2 linked regions of the Oryzias latipes genome follow. The protein of the gene in region 2 binds, or shares a complex with, the protein of the main gene of each other region. Links are inferred from orthologs where the notes say so. Each region holds a gene or a part of one and is shown on either strand. Other genes may lie near its edges.

The links. Proteins that work in one complex are often made in the same cells at the same time.
Region 1: the proteins of tankyrase-1 (region 2) and usp25 are in contact, whole or in part, in a crystal structure (PDB 5GP7), measured with the Homo sapiens proteins. The link is inferred for Oryzias latipes from reciprocal best matches to the Homo sapiens genes TNKS and USP25. Residues at the interface, in NP_003738.2 of Homo sapiens: Arg836, Ser838, His842, Leu843, Gly846, Tyr847, Leu871, Asn876, Ser879, Tyr880, His882, Asp900, Trp902, Phe904, Glu909, Gln912, Lys913, Gln934, Glu935; in NP_037528.3 of Homo sapiens: Ser1046, Ser1048, Arg1049, Thr1050, Pro1051, Ala1052, Asp1053, Gly1054, Arg1055.

The regions. Positions count from the first base shown.
Region 1 is NC_019872.2:2,553,657-2,561,481, reverse strand, and holds part of usp25 (ubiquitin carboxyl-terminal hydrolase 25), read left to right. Parts: intron 1-1,103; coding exon 1,104-1,342; intron 1,343-1,428; coding exon 1,429-1,499; intron 1,500-1,566; coding exon 1,567-1,795; intron 1,796-3,508; coding exon 3,509-3,775; intron 3,776-4,043; coding exon 4,044-4,183; intron 4,184-5,502; coding exon 5,503-5,679; intron 5,680-5,987; coding exon 5,988-6,083; intron 6,084-6,929; coding exon 6,930-7,108; intron 7,109-7,825. UniProt on the Homo sapiens protein: Deubiquitinating enzyme that hydrolyzes ubiquitin moieties conjugated to substrates and thus, functions in various biological processes including inflammation and immune response.
Region 2 is NC_019870.2:18,235,393-18,243,217, reverse strand, and holds part of tankyrase-1, read right to left. Parts: intron 6,415-7,825; coding exon 6,348-6,414; intron 6,082-6,347; coding exon 5,895-6,081; intron 3,661-5,894; coding exon 3,539-3,660; intron 3,460-3,538; coding exon 3,368-3,459; intron 3,034-3,367; coding exon 2,955-3,033; intron 2,698-2,954; coding exon 2,526-2,697; intron 1,745-2,525; coding exon 1,665-1,744; intron 379-1,664; coding exon 233-378; intron 123-232; coding exon 1-122.

The DNA.
Region 1 (7,825 bases), on a different chromosome or scaffold from region 2:
CTTGACGTCAACAATGAATTGCATATACTTGTAATTTAATTATTGTGAGTTTGTAAAATTAGTCAAAACTGTGGATTTATGTTTGCTAAATATATAAACTAATTCATGGATTGAAGCCAGTTTACAGGAAATATTTCTATGATCTATGAACCAATGACACAACAGAAAGAGGAGATCCAATGTTTAGTGGTTTTGTTGTGAGTCTGCTCTCTGTACTGTAAAAGACGAGTTTATAACAGCAGGAGTCACCATGGTAAAGGCCCGTACACACCGGGACGAATATTCGCCAGCGTTTTTCGCCACGTTTTTTGTGTTCACACCCAGGCGATTTTCGCTGACGATGAGCCGAGCGAACATGCAATTTCATTCCCTGACATTAGATGGGGCTTAATGTAAAACAGAAATACTCCTGTACACAAGGTGGCGCTGCGCAACTTTAGGCTTCTTAAAGTCGCTTTTCCCTCAGAAAAAGAAAGCAAGTATTTACGCGCTTGTCAGAATAATTCAAAGAAAACATGAATATTTCAAGCACCAGTAGCTCCAACTGGTGCTTGGTTCGGGGATATTATAGAATGTCCGTCATTATTTCTTCGCGGCTGTGTAGACGCTACTTGGCGTCTATCTTCTTCGCTGGTATGTGTGCTCAGAAAGGCAGTTTTGTGTTTGAGCGCCCCCAAGTTGTGTTTTACTGTAACTTCAGAAGCTCCAGACACGTGTGCAAAAGCGCCATTCTCATTGGTCGAGTAGATTTAGAGGCGACGCGTCAAACCAAAAAAACGAACCCGAGGCGTTTTTTAAAAAGTGACGCTTTGACGCGTGGCGTTTTTTCGCGTCGGTGTGCACACTCACATTGGTGCCCTTTGTCTAGTCACGAGGCGTTAAACGTCGGCGAAAATGGCGGGCGAAATTCGTCCCGGTGTGAACGGGCCTTTAGTGCGGGCGCTGCAGCAACAGATTCTGAACCGCGTACTTCACTGAAATCCTGCAGATTTCTGCACGCCACCGCCATGCCGCCATCTTTGTCTGAAAACCGCAACCTCACAGTGTTGTAAATGTATTTTCTGCCAGTCCTTTCACCATCGTCACCGTTTCCCCCCCAACAGCACAGCTGAGCAGGACTCTGCTCCCCCCCAGGACAGCTCCGGCCCGGCTGCGGCCCCTGCTGCTGCCCCTGGCCCGGCTCAGCAGCAGAGGGTCTCCGTTCATAAGCCTTTCACCCAGTCCCGACTACCTCCAGACCTGCCCATGCACCCCGCCCCCCGCCACATCACAGAGGAGGAGCTGCGGGTGCTGGAGGGGTGTCTGCACCGCTGGAGGAGCGAGGTGGAAAACGACACCAGAGGTGGGTCCCACAGGACAAGATGGAGCCTGAAGTCTGGTCTTGTTGTTCTTGACACTGTGCCCCCCCCCCCCCCCCCCCCCCCCCAGATCTGCAGGGCAGCATCAGCAGAATCCACAGAACCATTGAGCTGATGTACTCGGACAAATCCATGATGCAGGTGAGCGGCTGACATCCAAACACTCAAACCGCTGCAGGACTTCTTTAATGTTCCGCTGCTTTGTCAGGTTCCATACCGACTTCATGCGGTTCTGGTCCACGAGGGCCAGGCCAATGCGGGCCACTACTGGGCTTACATCTACGACCCCCACCAGCACTGCTGGATGAAGTACAATGACATTTCAGTCACCAAGTCGTCGTGGGAGGAGTTGGTCAGGGACTCGTTTGGGGGCTACCGCAACGCCAGCGCCTATTGTCTGATGTACATCAATGACAAGAAACCCTTCCTCACTGAAGGTACAGATCCAGTGGGGGGCGGGGGCGCTCTGTGTGTCAGAGCCTCAGACTTCAGCTGTTAAAGAAGGTTGAGTTTAGTTTGAGGTGTCGTTAAAGGAGGCTTTTCCTTTTCTGGCCTTCAGTTCCTGTTCTCAAGTCCTCTGTTAACACAGGAGTTCTGTTCAGTACAGCACAACCAGAATCTGATCCCCTCTTGGTTTCCAGGGACATTTATCTTTTTTTTGGTGAGGGGGGGGGTTTCATTTATGAGCCCGAAACCTTTTTTTTTGCATCTTATTGGTTGAATGCTATAAATCCTTCAACCCATTGTTTGTTTTTCTTTCTTTTAGTATATTTTGCCATTTTTTGCCGTTTAAGTCCTTCTACAAATTTTCAGCTATTTTAACCATTCAACTATTCAAATGTTCAGCTCTTTCAGCTTTTTGCAGCTATGAGTTTTGGTCCTTCAAATCCTTGAACTTTTCAAGATATTCCAGGATTATGTGGATTATATGTCCTTTTCAATATTCCTGGTTGGTGGTGTTATGGCATGAGACATGCACTTTGGTGCACGACTTCACCAATTTGATATCTGGAGCTTGCATTTTTCCACAAACATATCTTTTTTATTATTGTGCTGTTTTCCCTCTATTAATGGTAAACTTTGAGCATCTCCATCTTTCTTGTTTTTTTTTTCTGCCACATATTACCCTTTAAGTTTAATTTTCATTCACCAATATAGCATTCAACCCTGCATTTTCTTCTGGAAATGCACCTCCTTCTAGTTTTTAAAATATCACCCTGTACCCTGTATAACCAAAATGCAATGACAAACCTCAGTTTTCATGTAAGGGTTAATGACAGACTAGTTGTGTTTTATCAGAAGAAGCCTGAACCGTCTTTTTGAGGGATAATGCACACTTCAAAGGCCATTAACCTGCTCATACCATGCTCACTGACAAAAAAAACAATATTTAATCATTTTTTAGGACTTTATTCTTGTCATTTTTCTCAGTTTGGATCGCTCAATCTATTTGTTTCATGGTGCGTTACGTTGTCACGGTAACGTGGCACCGCTCCGCTTTGCCGGCTGGGCCAGCACGGATCTTGGATCACCTCTTAACGCTTCTTTTTTTCCAGATGATGAAGCTAAAGGTTGTTTTAAAGAAGCCAGAGCAGCGATACAGAACAGTTGAGCTATGTGACCGGAACTTCTTTTTTAGGTGTCCATTATGTAAGGGTTAATGGCCGACGAAGTGTGCATTATCACTTTTTAACGCACGCCGTGAAAGCCTTCGCGTCGGACGGTTGCTTCAGCAAAGTGCGTTAAAAAGTGATAATGCACACTTCGAAGGTCATTAACCCGCTTATACCACGTTTACTTACAAAAGCAATACATAGGTACCAGTTTTAAGTCTCTGCCCAACCGTTAAGCTGACTTACTGTGGCGGCCCCTAACGGTGGAGGCTGAAAGGCGGAGGAAAATCGTTTTCTTGACTTCATTCTTAATGCTCTCACTATGATCTATGAACCAAAATCGCTTCTTTTCTTAAAATCCTACATTGTGTTTTGCCGGATTCTCTTTATTTATTTATTTTTTTACAAACTGTCTTTCACAGTTGAAGCATCAGTGACTGATGGATGCTTTTTGGTTCCATTTTTCCATATTGGATATAGTCGGACGGCTGAACAGGGCGGTCCCTCACTTCTCCCTCCTTTGTCCTTCTCTTGCAGAGGAGTTTGATAAAGAAACCGGTCAGATCCTGAGCGGCATGGACAAACTGCTTCCAGACCTGAAGCAGTACGTGAAGGAGGACAACGAGCTGTTTGACAAGGAGATTGAGGAGTGGGATGCCCTGCAGGCTCACAAGGCCCAGCAGGAGAAGCTGGCGCTTGCCGCCGCAGCAGCAGCTGCTGCAGCTGCTGCATCATCCAGCACCTCCACCTCTTCTCCATCCCCACAGCCCATGAGCATCGAGTCCAGCCCCCCCGACAATGCAGGTTAGTGACAGAAGACTCAGCAGAAAAACCAAACTGAGCATGAATCAGCATTTCAGCTCTGCTCTCTGTATTTTTAGAAGTCTTATAGCTGGAGGGTTGATGCCCCATCACATTCTGAGAAGGAGACTGTTAATGTATGATCTGTTTCCACTGTCTGTCTTGAAAAAGTGATGGTTAAAGCATAAAAAATGCTCTGTGATGCTTTGGGATGCTGGATAACATCAGTTTTAGGACACACTTGTCTGATGGAGGCTTTGCTCCCCTGCAGCCCCCCAGCAGGACCCAGAGTACATGGAGCAACCGTCTCCAACCAATGACTCCAAGCACCTGCAGGAGGACACTGAGAGGGCCATCTCCAGGGCTGCTGCTGAGCAGGGGGAGAGGGGGCCAGAAGCCCTGTTAAATGCTGTATGTACCATGCAGACACAGCACCGCCACCCATCAGCTGGAAATGACTCACTTTACCCCCATGATCACTGTCCTACTGTTTATGAGCAGCTTTCAGCTTTATATGAACATGAACACCACACAGTAGTCCTGACTAAACAGGTCAAAATAGAAAAAGCAAAGAAAGTTTTCCTGCAGCAACTTTCCTGATCCACAGTCTGTTCCAAGCAGAGCAGGCGTTTCTGCACAGACTGTGTGCAGAAAGACCTACTGAGCTGCAGGAGCTCCAACGTCTAGTGTGTAAAAAGAGTAATCGTTCTGCAGCCAAAGTTATTATGATTTATACCATGGTCTGGGTGAATACTCTGTTCTGATTGGCTGCTGGGTGTACGTTAAAAAGTGATATACCACAGTGATAACCGCACGGTGAAAGAAAAAGTTCCGGCCACCTAGCTTAAATGTTTTGTATTACTGCGCCGGCTTCTTTAAAACAACCTTTAGCTTCATCATTTGGACAAAAACAAGCGGTAAGAGGTGAACTTTCTCTCTGAACTGATGCTTTATTCAACCCATCGGAGAGATCAGCACATATATATCGCTTTATATCGCCGAATCTTGACTGCAGCGGTGGTGCGGCGCGATGTGGATGCCGCACCACGTAACAAATAGTCAGCTTTTTGTGAGAAAAATGATCCAAATCGGGGGAAAAAAAAGAATTAAGGACTAAAAACTGGTTTATATTTATTGCTTTTGTAAGTGACCATGGTATAAGCGGGTTAATGGCCTTCAAAGTGTGCATTATCACTTTTTAACGCACTTCGAGGAAGCAACCGGAGGGCGCTTCAAGCTTCCACGGCGTGCGTGAAAAAGTGATAATGCACACTTGGTCGGCCATTAACCCTTAATCCTCGGAGATGCTGCCAGCAACACTTAAAAAAAAACAATGCTCTGACATATAACCTATCGTTCACATCAACATCGTGAGTCATATGTAGAATGTAAACACTGGAGCTAAAGCTCTGATGTTAAAGTGATGAAAAAATATCAGCAAACTGAAACATCAGAAAGTAGATCTGTGACCTCTGGACACACAGACGGTTTCCAGTCTTTCTTTTACTTTGAAGCATAAATTTCAGCTGATGAAAATCCAAAGCGTTGTCAAAAAAGCTGGAATCCTGTGAGAAGGTAGACCTGGGGGCCTTGGGGGGGGTGGTCGGTCTGACGCGACCCTGAAAGCAACAGAAGCAGGACATGGAGATGCCCTTCAGCCCCTCCCTGTTGGCTCTAGTTCTAATCCTTCCAGTCACGCTGCTGTTTCCTCTGTCGCCCTTTTTCCACAGTCGCCCCCCCATCCCTCTTTTCTTCAGCCAGAGACCCAGATGAGCGCCCCCCCCAGCCCTCCCTGTGAGCAGCAGCTTGCAGAGGAGGAGTCCCTAGGCCAGCGCACAGTAGAGGTGGCCATTCCCAACGTGGGGACGTTTGTCATTGAGTCAGAGGAGGGGGGGTACGATGACCAGGTGTGAACCACAGGGGAGTGGATCTGCTGCTGTGTGCTGACCTCAGCCTGAGGATGTCATTCACAGACACTAACACCCCCACTCCCCCACCCCTGCGTTTTCTGAAGTTGCTCTGCATCTGGGGGCGCTCGGCTTTTTGACAGACCTGTTGTGTTGGGGCTCTGAAGCTTCATTGGGGTCATTGCTGTGTACAGACCCCCCCTGCCGCTCTAACAGTGCATGGACGGCTGGTGTCTGCATGCTCTAACAGCACAGATCGCCGTGACGACCTGTTGTTGTGTTTAACGCGGCTCCTTCTTCCTGGTTAGACGATGATGACCCCCAACATGCAGGGCATCATTATGGCCATTGGCAAATCCAGCAGCATTTATGAAAAGAGCGGTCCTGAGGCAGCCTTCTTCAAGGTACTCCCTCTCTCCTTTCTGCCCCCCCATTCCACTGTCATTCTGCTGTGTTTGCTCATGTCTGACGCTGTTCCTCGGTGACGTAGACGCTGAGTGAAGCTCTGCCATCGCTCAGAAAAACACCCAACTCCTTTTGCTATCTAGCTTGATCCACCCGTCTGCAGTTACACTTCGGGTGGGACTGAACTTTCACATTCCACCAGAAATGACCGAAAGTCACACAAAAGTGTCGACTCGGATGAGCTGCAGAAGTCCAGACTGTGAGCCTGATCTACACTGGTCCCACTGCAGTGTGTCTCCATAAAGTGAAACGTTCATGAATCAATCAGAAGGTTTACATTACAAACATACTCCGTCATGTTTGCGTCTGACGCTCATCCTTCTGCAATGAAAGCTTCCCATAGCAGCCATTTCCAGTCCATTAACGCGTCAATTTTGTGGTTAAAAAGCCAGAAAAACATTTGTTGTACTTCAAAAATATATACCATTTTATTTTAGAGTTAAGGTGGCGTCCCAACGGTGACACCATAAATGACACCAGCATCCTTTTTGCCATGGACGCTGAAAGTTTAATATAGGTCGTTCATGACAAAAAACAGACTTTTTACAAGGACTCAGTGAGGAGAGGGTATGGGGGCTAAACCCACCCCTCCTCTGGAAACCGGGGGGGGGGCTGGAGACGCAATGAAGTAAAGTAACTGACGGTGGTGAGACGGACTCCCAACGTAATGCAAGAGCGAGACGCCGCAGACAGATCAGCGTGAATCCAGCGTTAGTCCTTCCAGAGGTTTGAGACTCCGCCCCACCTCAGAGCCTTAACCCCTTCCTCTTCTCTGTCTCTGTCAGGCCATAAAGTTGGAATACGCGCGACTTGTGAGGTTTGCCCAAGAAGGCCCGACTCCTGAGAACGACTACCGACTACAGCACATTATCGTCTACTTCATCCAGAACCAGGCCCCAAAGAAAATCCTGGAGAGGACTCTGCTCACTCAGTTTGCTGACAGAAACTTGGCCTTTGATGAGAGGTGAGTCAGAAGTTTCACCCACGCCAAGAACTAGAACATCTCATAAAATCCCTCTGCTTCTCCCTTCATCAAAAAAGGTATCAGATCAAGATAGTTTATTCTGACCAATAGAATGACTGACTGAATAACTGCTGTTTACTTCTCTGTGGAAGTCTACAGCATTTCAGCTTTTTGGGGACCCTCTGGTACTTCCTTTTCTGAACACCAGGGGGAGGGGTCACTCAGTCCAGTTCTATTTTACAGTCAATGGTACATTTATGAAGAACACCGACTTCACTGAAGCGCCTGTTTAAACATGTTTGCATCACAAACTGCTGTTTTGAAAACAAGTCTTGGACTCCAGCAAAGTTCTTCTTATTTAATGAGTTGATCTTTAAAACCTATGAGCTTCAGACGGCAGAAATGTCTGTTTCACACATTAGTGTCAAACAGTGGTTGTCCTCACAAATGACCAGCAGAGGGAAGCAGAGTGTCCACAGCAGCAGCTTCTGACAGTCTATAACAGGGGTCGGGAACCTTTTTGGCCAAGAGAGCCATAAACGCCACATATTTTTAAATGTAATTTCGAAAGAGCCATACAATAATGTAGTGTCCTTTTCCCACACTGAGACTTAACCTCTTTTAAGGTTCTTTATTCTGGTTAATGCAGGCTGTAACAAATGCCGTAAATTAATTCAGCAGCTCCTGAATCTCTCCCGCCGAGACGAGAGCGCTTCT
Region 2 (7,825 bases):
CTTCGTGGAGCGGCGTAAACTTCCACAAATCGGCCACGTTGACTGAAGCTCCATGTCGGACCAACAGCTCGGCCACTTCGTAGTGTCCGTATGAACAGGCATTGTGAAGAGGGACCAAACCACTACAGAGGGGGAGGAAAACAAGATCATTTTTAAAGAATTCAGTCTAAAAATGAAAATGTCAACTACAAAAAGATATCAGTGGAAAATGAGTGAGAATCTGAGGCCTCACCCTTTATCTTTCGCATGAACGTCAGCCCCGTGGTGCAGCAGGTACTCCACCACCGACACTCGGTTGTAGCCGGCAGCAAAGTGAAGAGGAGTGGAGTGCCGTCCCTCCAGGTCTCGGCAGTTCACATTCTGAGGCGTGCACAATGACTGCAATCAGAAAAGAAAGGAAACTTTAGCATAAAAATCCAACCAAAAGGCAGATCTGATCTGTTTTTGGTTGTAAAAAAAGACTGCAAACATTATTCTTATTTTAGTCTTAAAATCAAAAAAGAAAGCTGACAGGCCGAGATCATATCTCTAAACATCACCTGCCCGGGTGTCAAAGCATCTCCCCTCTCAGACACTGACGGAGCCTCCTGAACATGATAATCACCCACTGCCTATCAGCAAGTGTGAGGACACACCAGGTTATCTTCTGCTGCAAAAATTTTACGTCCTAAGGCCCTCTCTGATGAAAATAGTGTTCTTAAGATTTTAGCATTTTCATTTATTTTCTATTTTTACGTTGTTTGATTAAAAGTGCTAAATAAATAAGTATTTCTTTATTCAAAATCGTTGTGAATCAGAAGAAGATTCAACAATATTGTTGGAAAAAGCTTGTAGAAGTGCCGTAGAAGCTTCTATGGCAAGCTACAATCTTTCTGCTCCGCTCCATTCTGATGCATCCACTTGCAGACAATAAGATCCATGTACGTCTTTGTTTTCCTCGTCTGAGCTGGAATCTGACTGAAAACTATACAGCTCAATAGCTTCAATATTGCTCGCCATTTTTTGTTTGTTGGTAATGTTAGGTTGGGGTTGTGAGGGGTTGCAAGATAGTGGTAGAGCGCGTAAACAGACGATGACAGGAAGTAGGGGCAGGCTTACCCCACACCAACCGTCCCACCCACAACTCAGAGGTGAATTTCTAATGAACTACTGCTTCTCTGCAAAAACTATGTTCTAGAAAACAACGCAGATATGTTACTTTTGGCCTAAGAACAGCATGATCGTAATTAAAAGATCACTGGGAAGTTTTACAACAAATCAAAAGATGATCAGAGTTTAAATAAAGGAAGTTTTTGATAACTGTGGCAAAAACAAACTACAGCAACAGTTTTAACAGACTAGAAATAAAGACAGCACTGAAAAAAATCCAAAAGGGGTTAAAAAAACAGAGTTGGAGAAGAAATTCTAGAGGTTACCTCTGCAAAGGGGAAACTTTCTTTTCTAGTTTTTAAAACAAAATATTTTAAACTGAACTAATTAAAATTAGTTCTTCTCTAATTCTTCAAATACAAAAAAAATATTTATTAGTAAACCACTAAAATAAATTTAAAGAAAAAATGGATTTTATAAATGAATATTGTTTCTGGTACACGCATATGATTTTGATAAGATTTTTCCATTTTTTTAAATTTTAAGTTAAGATATTTAAACAGAAGGAAAATTACCTTGATAGTGTCCAGATCTCCAGCTTTAGCGGCTTCCAGGAGTCTGTAATCCACATCAGAGTTCCTCACAGGGACACTTTCTGCAGAGCCGCAAAAACAGGAATCAAACAATCAAGAAGAGGCTCAACTCAACCCTCAACAAAACTATACCTGGAAAGAAACTGTTCATTCGAAGTAAAATTACTTTCTAGTACACAGTTGACACCAGAGCAACTTTAGCAGCATTTTAGTGCTCTTGGTCTAAAAATGCTGGGAAAGAAACATTTCTGACATCCACGGGAGAAAAATTTGGCAGATTTTCTCCATGGCAACAACTTGCTGAAAATAATGAATCGCAGCCTTTTACAATGGCTACCAAAAATAATCAAAAACGAAAAACGGTTTATATATTTATATATTATATTTTTTTTCTCACTGGATCCAGACTGACAGCTGAAAAAAAACAAACTTTCGGTATGACCTTTATCTGTTTCCTGATTCTGGTCAACAAAAGGTGATTCTTCTTTCTGAAGCTTACAAAGCACATAGTGGAGCCACATTCATGCATCTGTTTCTTTATGACTTGACCTTAGGAGAAACACAATTTAACTGATGAAAAACAAATCTTTAGTCTGAGCATTACACAGCAATGAACTGTGATGTGGCGTCTCTTCTAAACTAAGGATTAGTTAACTCAGCCTCAAAACCTATTTACCCATCTGCAACATCACTGTGAATATATCAATATTGACCTTTACAAAACACTTCCAGTTAATCCCCCACCTCACTGCTGCTGCATAGCAACTAAACCTCTGGGCGCACTCGTGCACAGTTCATATGCACTCCGCACCCCACCTCCCACCATCATGAGGGACAGCGTACCATTGAGTATCTGCTGCACAGCTTCGTTTCCCATTTGAGCAGCCGTGAAGCCCTGCAGCGACACCAGAGAGGCGTCTGCCCCGTATCCTAGCAACAGCCTGCAGGTCTGAAGGTGGCCGGCCAATGCCGCGCGATGCAGAGCCGTCTGACCCAGCGTGTCCAGGGCGTTCACCTGCAAACACAAACATGTGCGATGTCTCGCATGGACTTTTCTGTCTTATTCAAATAAAATGTATTCTACATAAGTCGCATCTTTAAATGTTCACAGTTTTGTGGTGGTAGCGTCACATTATTGCACATCGTTGGTATTTAGAGCAAGAGTTTAACAATAAAAATCATTCGTAAATCACCTATTTTTAAAATACATTTTTTTATTTACTTTAATTTTTTACATAGATTTTGTGACAAACAAAACAAAAAACCTCGCACCTTTGCACCGTGTTTCTGTAGCACCTCCATGATGTCATTATGAGCCCGTTCAGCCGCCACATGCAGAGGAGTCATAAAACTGAAGAAAAGCAGAGAAAAATCAAAAAATTACTATTTGTTCCTAACATGCTCTTAAAAATTGTAGATAAATTAGGCAAAAAAGCTTACAAGAAGCTAAATAAGGGTTCAATTTTTTTTTTTTTACCAGTTTTTCAAATGTTTAATATGCTCCAAATTCCAGTAATTACTCATCATTAAAGTCATAATAGAATAGTTTGCTGCAACTTACACTACCATATGAGTCACCTCACATGTAACAATGATCACTGTCAAGTTTTACCATCTGCTTATCTGGAAAATAAGCTTCTTGCTGGATTTTTATTTTTTAGAATTTATGAACAAGAGTCACTCACTCCTTATTCTTCTCATTGACGTTGGCCCCTTTCCTCAGCAGCAGCTCTGTGACCTGTTTCCTCTTTGGGTGTGGCGATGCCACTGCACAGTGCTAATTACCATAAGCATAGAAAACCACATTAAAATCACATTCAATAATAGGAAAGTGAGGAGACTGAGTTCAAACACACCAGTGCAGTTTCATGTGTGTGAGGGTGTTTAAAGTTGATGATCTCCAGAGCCAGGGTCTTCTTGGCCTTAGCCATGTCAGCCTCCCGAGCAGCTTGGAGGAGCGAGTGGCCCTTAAATTCATCTGAAACAACAACAAAACCTTCAGATTTAAAAGAAGGAATAAACCGATAACAAAAAATATTGCTTCCATGAATAACAATGACAAATTTGACAAGCTAAGCCTTAAAATGTATAAATATTTACAAATGATTTCGGACCAAATTCAGTCTAACAAAAAAGAAAAACCTTTGGATCTGCTGTGGGCTCTGGATGTGCTGCCTTTTAAAATATTGTTTGAGTTTACTTTTACTCCTTTTAATTTTTTTTCTACGTTGTTTAAATGTTAAAGACCCATTAAGATGAAAACAGGGTTCTTGGTGTTTATAACATCCTCTTCTAGCATTTTTCTGATGATGGTAGGGATTAAGAAAATTAAGTTTGAATTGCATTTCTGAATATTTCTTTATGAATCGTTGTGAATTAGGAGCAGACAAAAAATGCTGTTGGAAAAAGCTTGTAGTGTAAAATGCGCTGGGTGGGCAAAAGCACCCTGCTCTGCTCCATTCTGCTCCAATCACTTGACAAACAGATTTATGTACATCTTTGTTCTCCTTGTCTGAGCTGGTATCGGGCTATAAACTGTCCGGCTGGATTGTTCTGATATTGCTCGCCATTTCTGATGCATCGGTAATGTTAGGTTGGAGGTATGAGGGGCTGTAAGCTAGCGGGAGATTGTGCAAATATATCGTAATTAAAGGACCACTGGGAACGCTTTTAAAATAGATGAAAGGATGATATGAGTGGGACTTTTATCAAACCTATAGGATTCGTCATGATCAAAACCGATTTCATCTGTTAAAATGTGTTTGTAGGGAGAAGCTGCCTTGTTTAAGGTAGAAACTCCACCTGATGGCACAGCTAAGCTAAAATTAAGCCTAAAGAGGACAACTGTAGAACCTGAAGCACAAAAACAAAATGGTTCAAAATTTAGTGAGTTTTATTTTTTTCTACAAAATTTTGACTCAGTTAACTTATGCAACACCTGTGGTGTGCCATATTTGAAAGTGTAATCTCTGTCTTTCCCTAACTTGTTTTTTTTTTTTTTTAAAACCTCTGGGTCTGCTAATGCAACGCTTGTGCAACAAATGCTGCAAAGCCTCCATTCAGCCTTCAGAGGAGAGAAATCTCCCAGTAATAGAGTTATAGAGAACTGATAACATCAAGGCTAATCAATACGGCAGTCCTTGATAATCTAGTCCTGAAAAGAGTTGATGAATCGTCACTTCTCTGGTCAGCCGGCCACCGTAGTTTTTTGCCTTTTTACAAAAAAAAAAAAAAGAAACTTCACTCGTAACCATACTTAAATACTTTATACGTTTTCTTTTTCTTTATTGACCATTTGAAACTTAGTAGGCCTAATGTAACAAAGTCAGCTCACTTCTAGATGTTTCTCCCGCAGCTAAAAATACAAACAAATGAACCCTGAACTGTTGTCATCCTAAATTTGTGGAGATAAATCTATGTGCAAGACTGAGATTACTAAATCTATCATATAATTTCCTTTTTTTATTTTCCAAAGACTTGAACTCTTGCAGAAAATTTGAGGATTTCTTGACGTGACTAAACTCTCACTTTCCAGATTCTCTCAATAAACGTGAAAGCCCGACTTTACACGATGAGACAGCTGCTCTTTAACCGCACTCCCGAAACCTCTGAGGACAGAAGGGGCCAGGAGCCAACGCAGAAAAACAACAACAAAAAAAACAGAAAAAATGGGAACACAGCTGTGCAAAGGATAAACTGATAAATAAAATCAAATCATAAAGTCATTTTTTGAGAGGGTATTTTCATCCTTCATGTGGATTTTTTAACTGCAACTAGATCTAGAAATAAAACGGCTTGATTTTAAGTAGCATTTATTCTAAACTTATTTTTCTTTATTTTTTCTTTCAAAGGTTCTGACCTGTTCAGAAATTACAGCATTTTTTTAAATGATTTATTCTATGAGAATAATCAGTTGATTTAATCGGGTTAGAATGTAGAAATAATAAATCATATGATGATGAAAAACTAGACTTTTTACAGTTTATTTGGTAAATTATTCTGAAAGAAATTATTGTAAAACTGTCTCCTAACTTAAAAAACAATTCTGTTTTCTTCATATGCAGAGTATTTCTTCTTGGTTCTGGAGCAGCTGCAGGGGATAAAAGTTATAGAAAAATAAGCAATAATTGGCTTTTGTTGCTGCTGCTCAACCTTTGATGCAGGTTGACCTGCAGGTTATCGGGGGTCAGCTGCAGGTGAACACAGACTCACATGTCAGCCTCTCCTTCAGCTCTGGAGTGGGGGCCATGTCCACTGAGCTTTTGCTATGGCAGTTAAGCAAGGTCGGGTCAGCGCCGTGGCTTAACAGCAAAGAGCAGACTTCCACGCGGTTTTTAGACGCCGCTTCATGCAGAGGAGTGAACTGCCACAGATCCATGGCATTCACACAAGCTCCATGCTGAGAAGGAGGAGGAAAATAAAATCAGAAGAAACGTACAATTTTAGCACAAAAAAAGGAAGAAATGTAGTAAAGAAATTACCCAGAAGTTTTTTTTTTAAATGAAATCGCAACTGAGCAGAGGAAATAGAAACCTTTAAAAAATTCAAGTCAAATTAGGAGGTCAATAATTAGTCAAATACTAATATTTGTGTCCAAAATAACAAGAAAATTGTATTTTGTCTGGACATTTCCTTGAAGAACAATGTAATAGTGTGTGTTTGTACCTTTAGAAGAAGTTCAGTAACTTCATAGTGTCCATAGGAACAAGCGTTATGAAGAGGTACCAGCCCACTGGAAGGAGGAAACACAAAGTTGTTTGTTCAGTAATACAACCCAAAACATGAAAAATACTATATTTACGTGTCTTATTAATTAAATGTGTTTAAATCAGTTCAACAAAGCAGCATGTCACACATTCTGCTTTAATGACAAAATTTGTCCCAAAAACAGAGCATAAAGTTTGGTTATACATCATCAGACATCGGATATGAAATCAATATAGACCGAAAAACTTAATATATATTGCATGCCAATAAAGTAAAGTGGGGCTGCAATTGATTATTTATTTTGTGCCATCTATTGGGTATTTTTATTATCAGTCAAGATTATGTTAGAATCTGATTTAATGATTTTTTCAGTTGTAAGTTTGTTATCATTGGAGTCTAAATACAGTATTTTTAATATTCCTTTACACTCTTTGAGCCACAGCATTTTTGCTTGTTAGTTTAAATAAACATAAAAGAACTTTTTTTTTACACCAAAATACATCTTTGGTGTAAAAGGTTTTTGCTCACCCTTCCAAATGATCAGAATCAGGTGTCCTAATCACTTGGCCACAGGTGTATTCACATTAAGCAGTCAGTCATGCAGACTGTTTTTACAAACATTTGTGAAATAATTTGCTCCGCTCTCAGGAGCTCAGTGAATTCCAGCATTGACCTGTCACTGGATGCCACCTGTGCAACAAATCCAGTTGTGAAATTGTCTTGCTCCTAAATATTCCACAGTCAACTGTCAGCTCTATCAGAACAAGATAAAATAGTTTGGGAACACCAGCAGCTCAGCCACGAAGTAGTATACCACGTAAACTGACAGAGGGATCAGCTGATGCTGAAGCACAGAGTGCAAAGAGGTCACCAACTTTCTGCATCGTCAACTGCTACAGAGCTCCAAACTTCATGTGACCTTCAGATTAGTCCAAGTACAGAATGCAGAGAGCTTCATGGAATGGGTTTCCATGACCGAGCAGCTGCATTCAAGCCACACATCACCAAGTACAATGTAAAGTGTTGGATGCAGTGGTGTAAAGCACACCGCCACTGGACTCTAGAGCAGTGGAGACGCGTCCTCTGGAGTGATGAATCACACTTTTCCATCTGGCAATCTATTGGATGAGTCTGGGTTTGGAGGTTGACAGGAGAACGGTGCATTTCTGACTGCATTGTGCCGAGGGTGAAATTTGGTGGAGGAGGAATTATATAGTGTGGGGTTGTTTTTCAGGATTTGGGCTTGGCCCCTATGTGAAAGGAACTCTAAATGCTTCAGGATACCAAAACATTATGAACAATTCCGTGCTACCAATCTTGTGGGAACAGTTTGGTGCGGGCCCCTTTGTCTTCCAACATGACTGTGCACCAAAGTGGATGACAGTCTGGGTGTGGATGAACTTGACTGTCCTGCACAGAGTCCTGACCTGAACCCG